Linked DNA regions of Rhinolophus ferrumequinum. The protein of the gene in region 2 interacts with the protein of the main gene of each other region in a pairwise test. Links are inferred from orthologs where the notes say so. Each region holds a gene or a part of one and is shown on either strand. Other genes may lie near its edges.

The links.
Region 1: the proteins of LYAR (region 2) and BEND7 interact in binary tests that used the Homo sapiens proteins (3 or more experiments, as listed by UniProt). The two-hybrid records come from large-scale screens. The link is inferred for Rhinolophus ferrumequinum from reciprocal best matches to the Homo sapiens genes LYAR and BEND7.
Region 3: the proteins of LYAR (region 2) and PRKRA interact in binary tests that used the Homo sapiens proteins (3 or more experiments, as listed by UniProt). The two-hybrid records come from large-scale screens. The link is inferred for Rhinolophus ferrumequinum from reciprocal best matches to the Homo sapiens genes LYAR and PRKRA.

Annotation. Positions count from the first base shown.
Region 1 is NW_022680355.1:355,633-359,379, reverse strand, and holds the start of BEND7 (BEN domain-containing protein 7), read left to right. Parts: upstream 1-988; 5' UTR 989-1,125; coding exon 1,126-1,186; intron 1,187-3,428; coding exon 3,429-3,512; intron 3,513-3,747.
Region 2 is NC_046288.1:82,856,310-82,860,056, forward strand, and holds the start of LYAR (cell growth-regulating nucleolar protein), read right to left. Parts: upstream 2,386-3,747; 5' UTR 2,222-2,385; intron 1-2,221. UniProt on the Homo sapiens protein: Plays a role in the maintenance of the appropriate processing of 47S/45S pre-rRNA to 32S/30S pre-rRNAs and their subsequent processing to produce 18S and 28S rRNAs. Also acts at the level of transcription regulation.
Region 3 is NC_046291.1:47,480,487-47,484,233, forward strand, and holds the start of PRKRA (interferon-inducible double-stranded RNA-dependent protein kinase activator A), read left to right. Parts: upstream 1-1,155; 5' UTR 1,156-1,421; coding exon 1,422-1,486; intron 1,487-1,793; exon of another isoform or gene 1,794-1,802; intron 1,803-2,025; coding exon 2,026-2,195; intron 2,196-3,747. UniProt on the Homo sapiens protein: Activates EIF2AK2/PKR in the absence of double-stranded RNA (dsRNA), leading to phosphorylation of EIF2S1/EFI2-alpha and inhibition of translation and induction of apoptosis.

The DNA.
Region 1 (3,747 bases), on a different chromosome or scaffold from region 2:
CTTCTTCCCTAAGAGGCAGCGGAGGGATCAAACACCCACTGACATCGCACCCCTCATCCTTTCACCCCCTCGGAGTCCCACATTCCAAGTTCTCTCCTTAAATATCACTCCGGATCTTCCTACATCCCTCCTTGTATTGGGGTAACAAATTGAAGCTCACTTTCAATACACTTCTCACCAGTAAATTCTAAAATCTCTTCGTTTCCTTGCAGAGCGCAGATGGGTAAGTTTTGGGTATTTGTGTTTCCTAAAACTTGCCTAAAACCAGTGAGTCTGGCCCTTGGACATCCTGGATCTCAAGTCAAGGAGGGGCTGGCCAGGAGGGTCCCCGATACCCAGGACGATTTATGACAAGATCCGCCCCAGGAAGCGGCGGCCAGAGGCCGGTGGGGAGCGGCGCCCCGACTCCTCGACCCCCGCGGCGCCGGCCTAAGGAGCCTGGGGGAAGGCCGGCCGGGCTCGGCCGAGGGCGCTGCGGCCTCCGGCTCCTCTTCGAGGCGCGCGCGGCCAGGCCGGTGGGTGGCGGCTGCCGGGGCCCCCAGGGATGGCGGCGGCCGCGCTCCGCCAGCAGGTGGCCCTGGGGTCCCGGCGGCGCCGCCTCCTCCCGGTGCCCCTCCTCCCGCGGGGGTGGCCAGCGCCCCGACCCGGCCCGCCCGCCGCCCGCCCGCCGCGTCCCCGGGGCCGCGCTCGCCACCGCCGCCGCGTCCGGAGCTGCGCCCAGGCCGGCCCGCGGCGACATCCCGGGGCGCCCGCGGCCCCGGCCCGCCCTCCCCGCCCCCAACTCGCTCCCCAACGGAAAGTTCGGCTCCGGCCGCGTTTTCCCAGAAGCCGGGAAGGAGCCGGGGTCGGGGGGCGTGTGGAGGGGACCCGGAGGCGGCGGCCGGGAGGGGGCAACTTCTCCCGGGAAAGCACCTCCTGCCGAGCCCCGCGCGCCGCAGCCCCCGAGCGGGTTCGAGGTGGTTCTTCCCTTCCCTCGGCCTCCCCCCTGCGGATTCCAGAGACGGACCTTGGTCCCGGCGCTCCCGCGGCCGGTTGACAAGAGCGAACGCCGCCGCCACCGCCGCCGCCTCGGCTGCCGCTCCCTCCGCCCGGCCGCAGCCCTGCCTCCCGCCTCCTGCCCGCACCATGGAGTTCTCCGAGAGGAAGAGGAGCAGGAAATCCCAGAGCTTCAAACTGGTGAGCCGAGGTAAGCGGTGCCGGGCCGGGCGGCGGGGAAGGACGTGGCGCCGCGTAAACAGCCCCGCGCGCGGCCCGCGTCCTGGCGGCTCGTCCCGCTCCGGGGCTCCGGGACCCCCGAGTCCCCTGCCGAGGCGGGCCATGGCCGCACACGCCGGGCGGCGAGCAAAGTTGTGCCGGGGGAAGGCAGGAGGTTGTTGTTCCGCGTAAACAAGTCGCAGGGCACTAAGGAAATTAGCAAACAATGACACTTGGGGAGCAGAGAGCCCTCTTTGGTATTCCACTCCTGTGGCCAGGTTGGGGGCTGGGGGGAGAACTGCCTTTCCACCAGGCCGTGTGGACACATCATCCCGACCAATGGTTGTGGTCTTGGGTTTTTCGTTTTTATTTTTGTTTTGTGTTTTTTTTTCCCTCCCCAAAGAGAAACAAAAAAGGTGGTGATGGTTCTTTTAAGAATGAGAAAGAAGCTCATGAGGCGTACAAGCCCACGTAAGAATTGTTGACATCCAGCATCTTTTCTAGATACGTTATTTGGAAAGGTGTTTCAGAATAGATCACTTAGCAGTCAAAGTATTATTTAAAAAATAAAGATCCAGCCAGTTCCAGACGATTTAACAGGTGTACACCAAGTTGGATAGTGTCATCAGTTGAACAGTCTGTGTTCAGTTACTTGTTAGTCTTTATTTTCCTGATGTGACTATTTTTAAAAAAACGGTCAGAAGTTAAGAGCAGACGTAAAGATATGTTTATCAAAATGCATTGTGTCACCTTAAATGACAGGCAGGTGACTTTTTTTCGTGGTAATGTCACAAGTCCTAATATTGAGTTTAGAACCATCCTGTTGAAATACCTTCTTTAAAACAACTTGAGGTCAAAACCAAACCACAGAACCTGTCCACTTTTTGCTTTGTCTAGCTATGGAATCAGAGTAGCGAACAAGGCAATTGTTTTAACAACCTGGAGAAGTCACATGTAGTAAGCAGATGAAAATTAGAGAGCAGTTCCAAGTAATAGAGTATTTCAAGCTAAGCTAAACTACAACTACCGGTATGATGTAGATTCAATAAAGCCTGCTTTAGCTTAGTCTGAAAATGGTTTTATTATAGACATTTTAAAGATCAACTCATATCTGTTTCCCCTGATTTAGTTTGACACTGTTTCAATGAAAGAGACCTGAAATAGTTTTACGTATTCAAAATATTTGCCCCTTTCCTTTACCTATGTTCATTTTCCCAAGCACTGTTGATTACTCAGTCATTTGTACTTTAAATATCTCTTCCTCCATTTGTGACTGGCTTATGGGTCTATCTGATTCATTCAGGAATGTGAGCTGCTCTTTTATGTATGACCTCAGGGAACTTACTACTTTATCTTAAAAGTGAGAGTAGTTCTGTAGACTTTGTCCTGAGAGGTCCAAGTCCAAAAAAAAAAATGTAATAGTTGTTAAGAAGGAACCTCTATTTTCTTACCTAGGCAATCCTACATTTTAGAAATAGATTGCCAAAGCACAGTAGCCTCTATAGAGAAGCTTATAAAATACTGTATTTTTAAAGTTTGACCAACATAGCAAGTTTTTCTGTTGTTTTTTTCCCCCACGAAATTATGGGTCTGATTCTTCTCTCTGCACTGCAGGTGCATTTTTAGAAAATAAACTACTGCATATTAAAGTGCAGTAGCTGAATGCAGAAGAGTCACTTGTGTAAAAGATGAGAATCTTGCTTTCTTATCCAAATTATACTATATTTGAAACGACAAATCAGTATTTTTCCAGTGTGATTGCCTGTAAGCTACTTAAAGGTGGGGACTTTTCTGGGTAAACTGAGAGTGCCACGTAACTCTAAAGCATACTGTTATATGCTCATGAAAATGGGTTGTGGAGATAAATTTGGAATCCTCCCCTGGCCTATGATTGGGCAAGGTTTCTTTTCCTTATAAACATCTTTGTGATTTGAAAGAAAAGAAGCCTAATAATTGGCATCTGTGGGCCAAATTTACTGTGAAAACCGGGTGATCAAACAAAGCTAAAGTCAAAGTGATATTTCAAGTTTGTGTACTTCTTTAGTCAGAGTAAGCAAAGTTTTAGGGATTCTCAGTGACTACAAATTCTATGACTGACCGAGTCCTGGAAAAGAATATTCACAAGTTAAAGTGTCGGTTATCCATAATATATATAATGAGATTCTAGTCTTTATTGCTTATTCATATCTTGCAGGCCATTAGAATTCTAATTTTTGGTTGTTTTCTCGTCCCAGATTATCACCATGAGGTATATAAGATTTCAGAATTCAGCAACGATGTCAATGGGGAGGCCAAAGAGACACAACCCATTTTTTTAGGTAGGTTCCTATGTCAATTAAATTCTCAGCAAAACAGCGTGGCCATTTGCAATTGGGGGGGGTGGATGGGGCAGGAGGGAAGGGGTTGTTCCAGAACGGGAAATGTCAGCCATTCCTTAATGTATGACATTCTTTTCAATACCTTTTATTTCACAGATTGCCAATATATCCCGTATTAACATTGCTAAAAGTTGTAATTTCAGACATAAATGTTTATTAGTGTCTACACACAGTG
Region 2 (3,747 bases):
TCTCCACACAGCGATTTCACCTGTACCATCACAACTGCACCAACACCTCCAGAACAGCTATGATCACACCACCTCCCTCTGTGAGGAAACTGAGGCAGCCTGACAGGCCACGTGATAAGCCCAATCTCCTGCCCTGCCTCTCCATCTGGACTGGTCATGTCCTTGGCCGTTACTCAGCATCTGGGACCTTGAGACCCTCATCCCACAAAGGCTCTACAAATGACCTGGCCTTTTAAAGTCTGAGGGCCCCAAGTCTTAATTCTAAGGCCAGCCCCCACTTAGCAAGACCAGCCGTGTCACAGCGGAGGATGTCAGGTACTGGAGAGTGATGCTGAGTGGAGGGGCAGCAGACAGCATCAGTAAAAGGCTGGGAACTTGTGAGGAACTTGGGGCACCTCGGTCTCCTCTTATCAAGATGGTAGCCCCGTGCTGTTGAACTAGGACTGGACTCAGGGCCAGAGGATCTGAGCTGGAGCCTGCATCTGCCATTTAAAAGCTAAATGACCTCAAGATATGCACCCTAACTTGAATCTGTTTATCTATAAAATGGGCCTAATATCTATCTTAGAGCATTGTGCGGAAAGTTAAATAAGATACCAGATGTGAAAGATTCAGCCTTACCCAATGCTAGAATTTCCTGTGACCTATCAATTTGCACGCAATGCTGTTACACCCAGTAACCTCCTAAACCCATGCTTCTTTATATATGACCTCAATTCATCTATCTTCATAAATTCACTCCAGTCTCCTCTGGCTCCCCACCCCATGGGTGCTACTCTACCACCCTGTTCCCTTATAACGTGACCTCAGGATCAGTTCTGGGATCGGGATTTGGAATAATTTTTTAGCCTCCTCCCTCTACATTTTTATATTGTTTATTTTCTACAAAAACTACACTCACTAATCTTAAACCATTCTCTCACACACATACACACACAGACCTAAACACCACCACCACCACCACCACCACCACCACCACCACCACCACCACAACAGCCCATCTGACAGGCCAGGCTGGCAACCTCAGCACAGTCACCAATAGGCACTTGGACCTCAAGCTAGTCACCATCCCGTCTGAACTTCAAGTTCTTCCATCTCTGAAACAAGGGATCAGGCCCACTAGACCAGCCCTGAGCCCCTACCCAGGGTAGAATTCCAAGAAACTCTGGGATTTCTTGGACAGACGAGCACATACTGTCCACCATCCTGTCTAAACCCCGAATGTGCGAGTGATGAGGGTCCAGATGTGCTTTCATGCAGGAGCTCTCCCCTGCTCTTTGCAAAAACCCTAGGAGGTAGGTACACTTGTCTCCACTTAACCAATGAGCAAACTGACACTGGGAGTGGTTAAGCCAAACCTCACCCCTCCCCACACATTGCCTCACCAGCCTTGTTTTAAACAGCATCCCTTCACTGGTGTAATAACCATCTGTGGAAGTCTACCACTTGTCAGGCTCCATGCTAGATGCCAGGGGGCTGGGGGTGCTGTACGCACAAGTCCCAAGCGGACCCTCTCTGCAGGAAAGTGAGCCTTGCAAATACACCCCACCTCGTCCCCCTACCTATTTCCTCAGAGGAAGGAGCTGCAGAAAATCCTGACATTTACTGAGCACCTACTACATGCCAAGCCGTCATAGATGGTTAACACGTTTGTGTTTATGTAATCCTCACAAGAGTCCTCTGAGTTAGGTTCTATACTGTTCCCTTTTGACAGACAAGTGAGGCACGAAGAGATTAAGTCACTTGCAGCAGGTCACGCATCCAGTTAGTGGTAAACCTGGATTCACACGCAGTGATTCGAGCCCTAAGAGCGAGTCCCGTGCTCTCAACCACTACGCCCCAAGGCCTCCTCCGGAGGGCCCGAGCTCCCCAAGACTCAGAGAAGACAAGAGCCTTGTCCCCAACATGCAGCAAGCCTGAACCCCAGGCCAGCGGGAACCAAGCGTCCCGCTTGGCCCACGACAGAGAAGGTTCCCGGCACAAGAACCTTTCCGTTTTAAAACCGGAAATAAGTGGTCATCCTAAATCCAGGGCTCCTTCCACTTCCCCAGAGCAGAGCACCAATAAGCTCTGCAGAGATTTCCTCCCTCCTCTACGTGTGTGAACCAAAGGAGGGGCTCGCAGGGTGGAAACGCAGGCATCGGCCATACTGCCCCCTCCCCTGCCCGTTCTCCAAGCCCGCCCGCCCCCCAGGTCGGACCTCTGAGCCTCTGCTCCTCACCTCTCGGCGGCCGTCCGCCAACAGTTTCAACCGGCCGCGCGGAGCACGTGGAATCGCCGCCGCTGCCTCCGCCGCCGGCCCAGCGCCGCCGCCGCCTCGCTCCCGAGCTTCCCCGCGCAGAATTCGTTTCCGAGCCGCCCCGCACGCCTGCGCGCTGCGGCTGCACCGCCCGGCGGAAGTGACGGCAGCGGAAGCCGGAGGGCGGGTCCGGCCGGCCGAGGGGGCGTTGTCGCGATGGTTCCGCGTCCCCCGGAGCCCGGCGAGCGGCGCGGAGGGCGTCGCGGTAGGTGAAGAGGCGGAGGCCGGCGCGGAGCGGTCTCCCGGGGTAAGGTGGCCGCCGGGTCCGGAGGCCGCCTCGCGAGGGCGTGCGGGTCCCGCGCGGTGGCGCGGCCCCGAGAGCCGGGCGGGGCACGGACTCGCCGTCGCCTCCGCAGCTCCGGGCACCGCGAGGGTCTGGGGGAGCGGTCGGGTCGTGAGGGGGTTAAGCAGCCCCGGCGCCGTGCTCTGGCTCCGGGACACAAAAGATCCGGGCGTGCTCCTGGAGCCGGCCGTGTCCGTGTGCAGCTTCCTCGGCCTGGGAAGCCCACCCGCGTCCCCGCCCGGCCTCCCGCCCGCTCGGGCACTGCCCGCGTGTAGCCCCCGATCCCTCCCCGTCCGGGGCTCCCCGCGCTCGGTTCCCATCTCCCTCTGCCTCCCTGTGGTTGAGAGCAGTGCCCACGACCGCAGACCCGGCCCAGCGGCATTCCCGGGTGGACTCGGCGTGCCTCGGCTCCCGTTTGCACAAGGCGTGCAATGGCAGTGCCTGTTGCGTCGGGGTCTCGCAGGATTTCTCGAGTGGATGAATGTAAAGCACTACATCGCTTCGCCGTTCTTCTCCGGTCTGGCAGACAGGGGTGGTCACTAGGTGTTCACGGCTTCATTGGGTGACTGGAGTATGGACCGAGTACTGTGAGAAACGGTAACCCTGGGGTGGGGGTGGGGCTGATAAGGGCGGTTTCACTCTGGGACCAACAGTGTTGGGCCTGGAATAGAAGGTGTAGCAGTTGGCGAGGGCCGCCATGACGAAATACCGCCGACCGAGTGGCTTCAACAACGTTTATTTTTCTCACAGCTCTGGAAGTGGTGTCGCGGGTTTGGTTTCTCTTGTCAGGGCCACCTTCTTGGGGGTCCTCACGTGGTCTTTCCTCTGCATGAGCATCCCTGGGGCTCCTTTTTTTTTTACAAGACGTCAGTCAGATTGCATTAGAGTTTTAACTTCATTGGATTGGATTTTAAAACCTCTTTCAGGGCCTGATCTCCAAACACAGTTGCATTCTGAGGTACCGAGGGGGTTAGGGATTCCGCATATGAATCTGGGGGGGATGCAACTCAGCCCTTAACAAGGAATTCACCAGAATGGACAAGAAGGGAAGTAGTTGCTGACAAAGGTGACAGAGTGGCCAAGAGGTTGAAAAGCAGGGTGCTCAAGGCATTTTTATGTGCAGGGCATGTAGGGGTGCCTCATTCTTAGTGGCGCTCTCCTGCAT
Region 3 (3,747 bases), on a different chromosome or scaffold from region 2:
TCATTTATTTCCTTTTTGTTTCATTATTCTCATTCCAGTTACTCAACCTTTAAAGATAGCTACATAAGATTTTGGCTTGTTTCAAAGGAATTTTGTGGCTAAAAATACATTTTAGAAACAAATCTGAGGGCTGAAATATTGTATTGCCACAGTTATGTGGATGTTGTATTTTGAAATAGTGGCTATGTGGTGCTCACAAATTACTCAAAACAAATAACATTAGTGGACAGTAACTGATACTATAAAGAGGGGGTTGGGGAAGAAAGAATAGGTGTAATTCAAGCCTCAAATAATATAACCAATTTGATTAGATTCTGGACATTTTTTAAATCTGCAATCAAATATACTCGCATGCAACCTCAAAGAACAGTTTTGAGTAGTCTCTCGGTGCGAATAGGATTATGAAAAGCAATCTTCTAGAACACCGAGAAGACACACAGAGCCATTTCTGCAAGTGGCTGCAAACCCCTAGAAAAGCCACTGGACATCTAATTTCGCTGTCGGACCCCCCCCACCAAAGGTGACGCATCCTAAGCAAACCCGATTACAACCAATACCACAGGTGTGCAGAAACAGCATTTAATAGGAATCCGGCCCATTGAAAAGCCGTAGTTTACACGTAACAGGCCTAGCTGGGATCTGCGCGCCCAGCATTCACTTAGCGATGAAAGTCTAGAAGACAATGGAGCCCACGGGGAGGTAGAGGAGGGGTGTAGCCCGACGTCCCTGCGAGCTCTTAAGGGCAGGTCTCGGGGGCCGGAAAAGCTCAGCGCAGCCCTCAGGAGCTGATATACCCAGAGTCTCAAGCTTCCCGGCCAGGCCCCGGGATGCACTCTATAAATTTTGCATTTGGAATTTTGAAATCTTTTTCTTAAAGTGACGCAGCCCTCATCCTTTCCTCCGGCCCAAAAATGACTGGGCTTCGGGCCCCACAGAATCTGCGAGCCTTCCCGCCCGACAAGCCTCCTCTCCAGGCAGGAAACGGCCTCCTTTTAAAGACACAATTGCGGCTTCGACCAGGCCGGAGAACAGGGTGCCGAAACACACGGAGGCCACAGGATGGGAACCCGCTGAAGCAGAGGAAAGCCAGGGCGGGGAGAAGGGGCGGGGCCAGGCGCCGAGGCCTCCGGATGCCAGTGGGCGGGGCCGGGCAGGGAGACAGGCAGGTAGCCAGGAGAGCGAGGGGGCGTAGCCGGGAGCCCCGGCCCGAGCTGCCGCACGGAGGCTCCGCCTCCGCCCCCGCCCGTCCCTTTCGCCAGAGGGACGTAAGCAGGGAGGATAAGGGGAGCTGGAAAGGGAGAATCGGAAGGGAGAAGGCGGCGGCGGTGGCGCTGGAGTGCCCCTCTCCGGGACCGGCGGACCCGGGGAGCGAGAACGTCACTGCGCACTGTTCTTCCGCCGTCGAGCCGTCCCTTCTCGCCATGTCCCAGAGCAGGGATCGCGCCGCGGCCCTGCCGCTGGAGCACGAGGACAGCGGGACCTTCAGGTCAGCGCCGGAGAATTCCGGGCCGAGCCGAGCAAGGGACAGAGTGGCTGGGCAAGAGGGGCGGGGGCGGGGCAGCGGCTCTCGAGCGGCATTCTGGGTAAAGCCCCTTTCTGGTAAAGCCCGCCTGGGAGGCTGCGGGCAGACCCGCGGCGCGCGGGCTGGGTCTGCGGCCCGGCCCCGCCCCTTTTGCGTCCTGGGGTGGCGGGCGGCGTGGGCGGAGATGACACTGGGCCTCTTGGGAAATGGGATTTGTGGGTTTAGTCGTTTGAGGTTGCAGCACTTCTATTAGTCTACGAATCCGTCCTACCTGCATTCAAGTTACCTCCTTAAAGACCTCCCTCAACCCTGCCAGCGCGTGCCTCATGCCGGCCGCTGCGGGTCCGGGAGATGGTGCGCCTCGCCAGCTCCGGTCCTGGCCGCCGGGAGCTTCGGCGCTTTCTCCCGTCACCGTTGGTGGCGGTCAGACAGAACTGGTCTCTATGCTTCTGCTTCCCTCCCGGTTTTGATATGCACAGCACACCTTTTTCTGGTTTTTGCAGTTTGGGGAAGATGATTACAGCTAAGCCAGGGAAAACACCGATTCAGGTATTACACGAATACGGCATGAAGACTAAGAACATCCCGGTTTATGAATGTGAAAGATCCGATGTGCAAATACACGCGCCCACTTTCACCTTCAGAGTTACCGTTGGTGACATAACCTGCACAGGTCTGTATGCACAGTTAACCTTATGGACCATGCAGGTTGGCGGTCAAGATTTGGCAGCATCAGTTTAGAAAAGTGCCCTTTTTACTAGAGACAGCTATGAGGAACAGGTTCTTGAAACTGAGACCTCATCTCAGGTTATTGGGACTTTCCAACTTCATCTGATTTTTCTCCCTAGTTTTCTCATCCCCAGATACCAAGAGAAGCTCATTAACATATCCTGGGATCCTCCTAGGGTTTTTCCAAGAATTAGGGAGAAGCAGGAAAGATTCTTGAAGCAGCCATAGCTAGATCAGTAGGTGCTGTCAAGTTTTATAGTTTCGTAGAGTATAGTAGATGCCAGGAGGCATGACCCCAGAATTTTCTGAGCCTCTCTTCTTTGTGTATGGACTCATTTGCTGCGTTGGACCCATTATACCACACCCAATTCTGTATCCAAGCAGAATGAGGAAGGTGAAAGGCTTGGATACACTATATTGCATAGCAGTATTTCCTGACACTACACAGGTATTTTAATAAGCTGTTACCTCCATTTTTATATATGACAGGTTCAGAGAGATATAAGTAACACGCCCAACATCACAGTAACGAAGTTTCAGAATGCAGATTCACCTGGTTATGGTCTGTGAGTTTCATAATTAAAGCCCATTTGTAAATGTAGACATTTTATTTCTTAGGTACCTATGTAATTTCAAACAAAAAATATTGAATGCTGAATTTAATTTGGAAGAATGTCAAAAAAATTCAGCAGGAATACTGAAGTCCCACCATCTGGCAATCTGAAGGCATCATTTGTTTGTATCCCTGAAAATCTGGAGTTTGCTATTTTCATTGAAGCCACTTAACAGAAAATTTTGAAGCTTTTTGTCTGTGTAAGGCAAGTGGATTGGAAATGCTAGTTGGAAGATTCCCTATATGAACCATAGAATCAACATTGCATTACTGCTTTAATTGGACTATTTATATTTTTGATAAATTTTATTGGGGACTATTAGGGAACAGTGTGTTTCTCCAGGGCCCATCAGTTCCAAGTCATTGTCTTTCAGTCTAGTTGTGGAGGGCGCAGCTCAGCTCTAAGTCCAGGCACCGTTTTCAATCTTTAGTCACAGGGGATACAGCTCACCATCCCATGTGGGAATTGAACTGGCAACCTTGTTATTCAGAGCTTCCATTCTAACCGACCGCCCCTCCAGAAGCTCAGTAGCAGCTTGATGTCTTCAGTCTAGTTGTGGAGGGCGCAGCTCACTGACTCATGTGGGAATTGAACCGGCAACCCTTTTGTTCAGAGCTTGTGCTCTAACCAACTGAGCCATCTGGCCGCCCCTAGCTGGTCTATTTTTAAATATTCAGTGAAAATTCAAGAAAAACTAGCCTTTTACCCTTCAATGTTTTACAGACTAGAGATTGACAACCTATGGCAACCATTCTGCCGAGGCCCCTACTCTGCTCACCCTGGACTGCCCCATCTTCCTGTACAAGCTTATCTGCCTCCACAGCTTCAAATACTATCTAAAGACTGATAATTCTGAACTCTCTGTCTTCAGCCCGGGCCCAG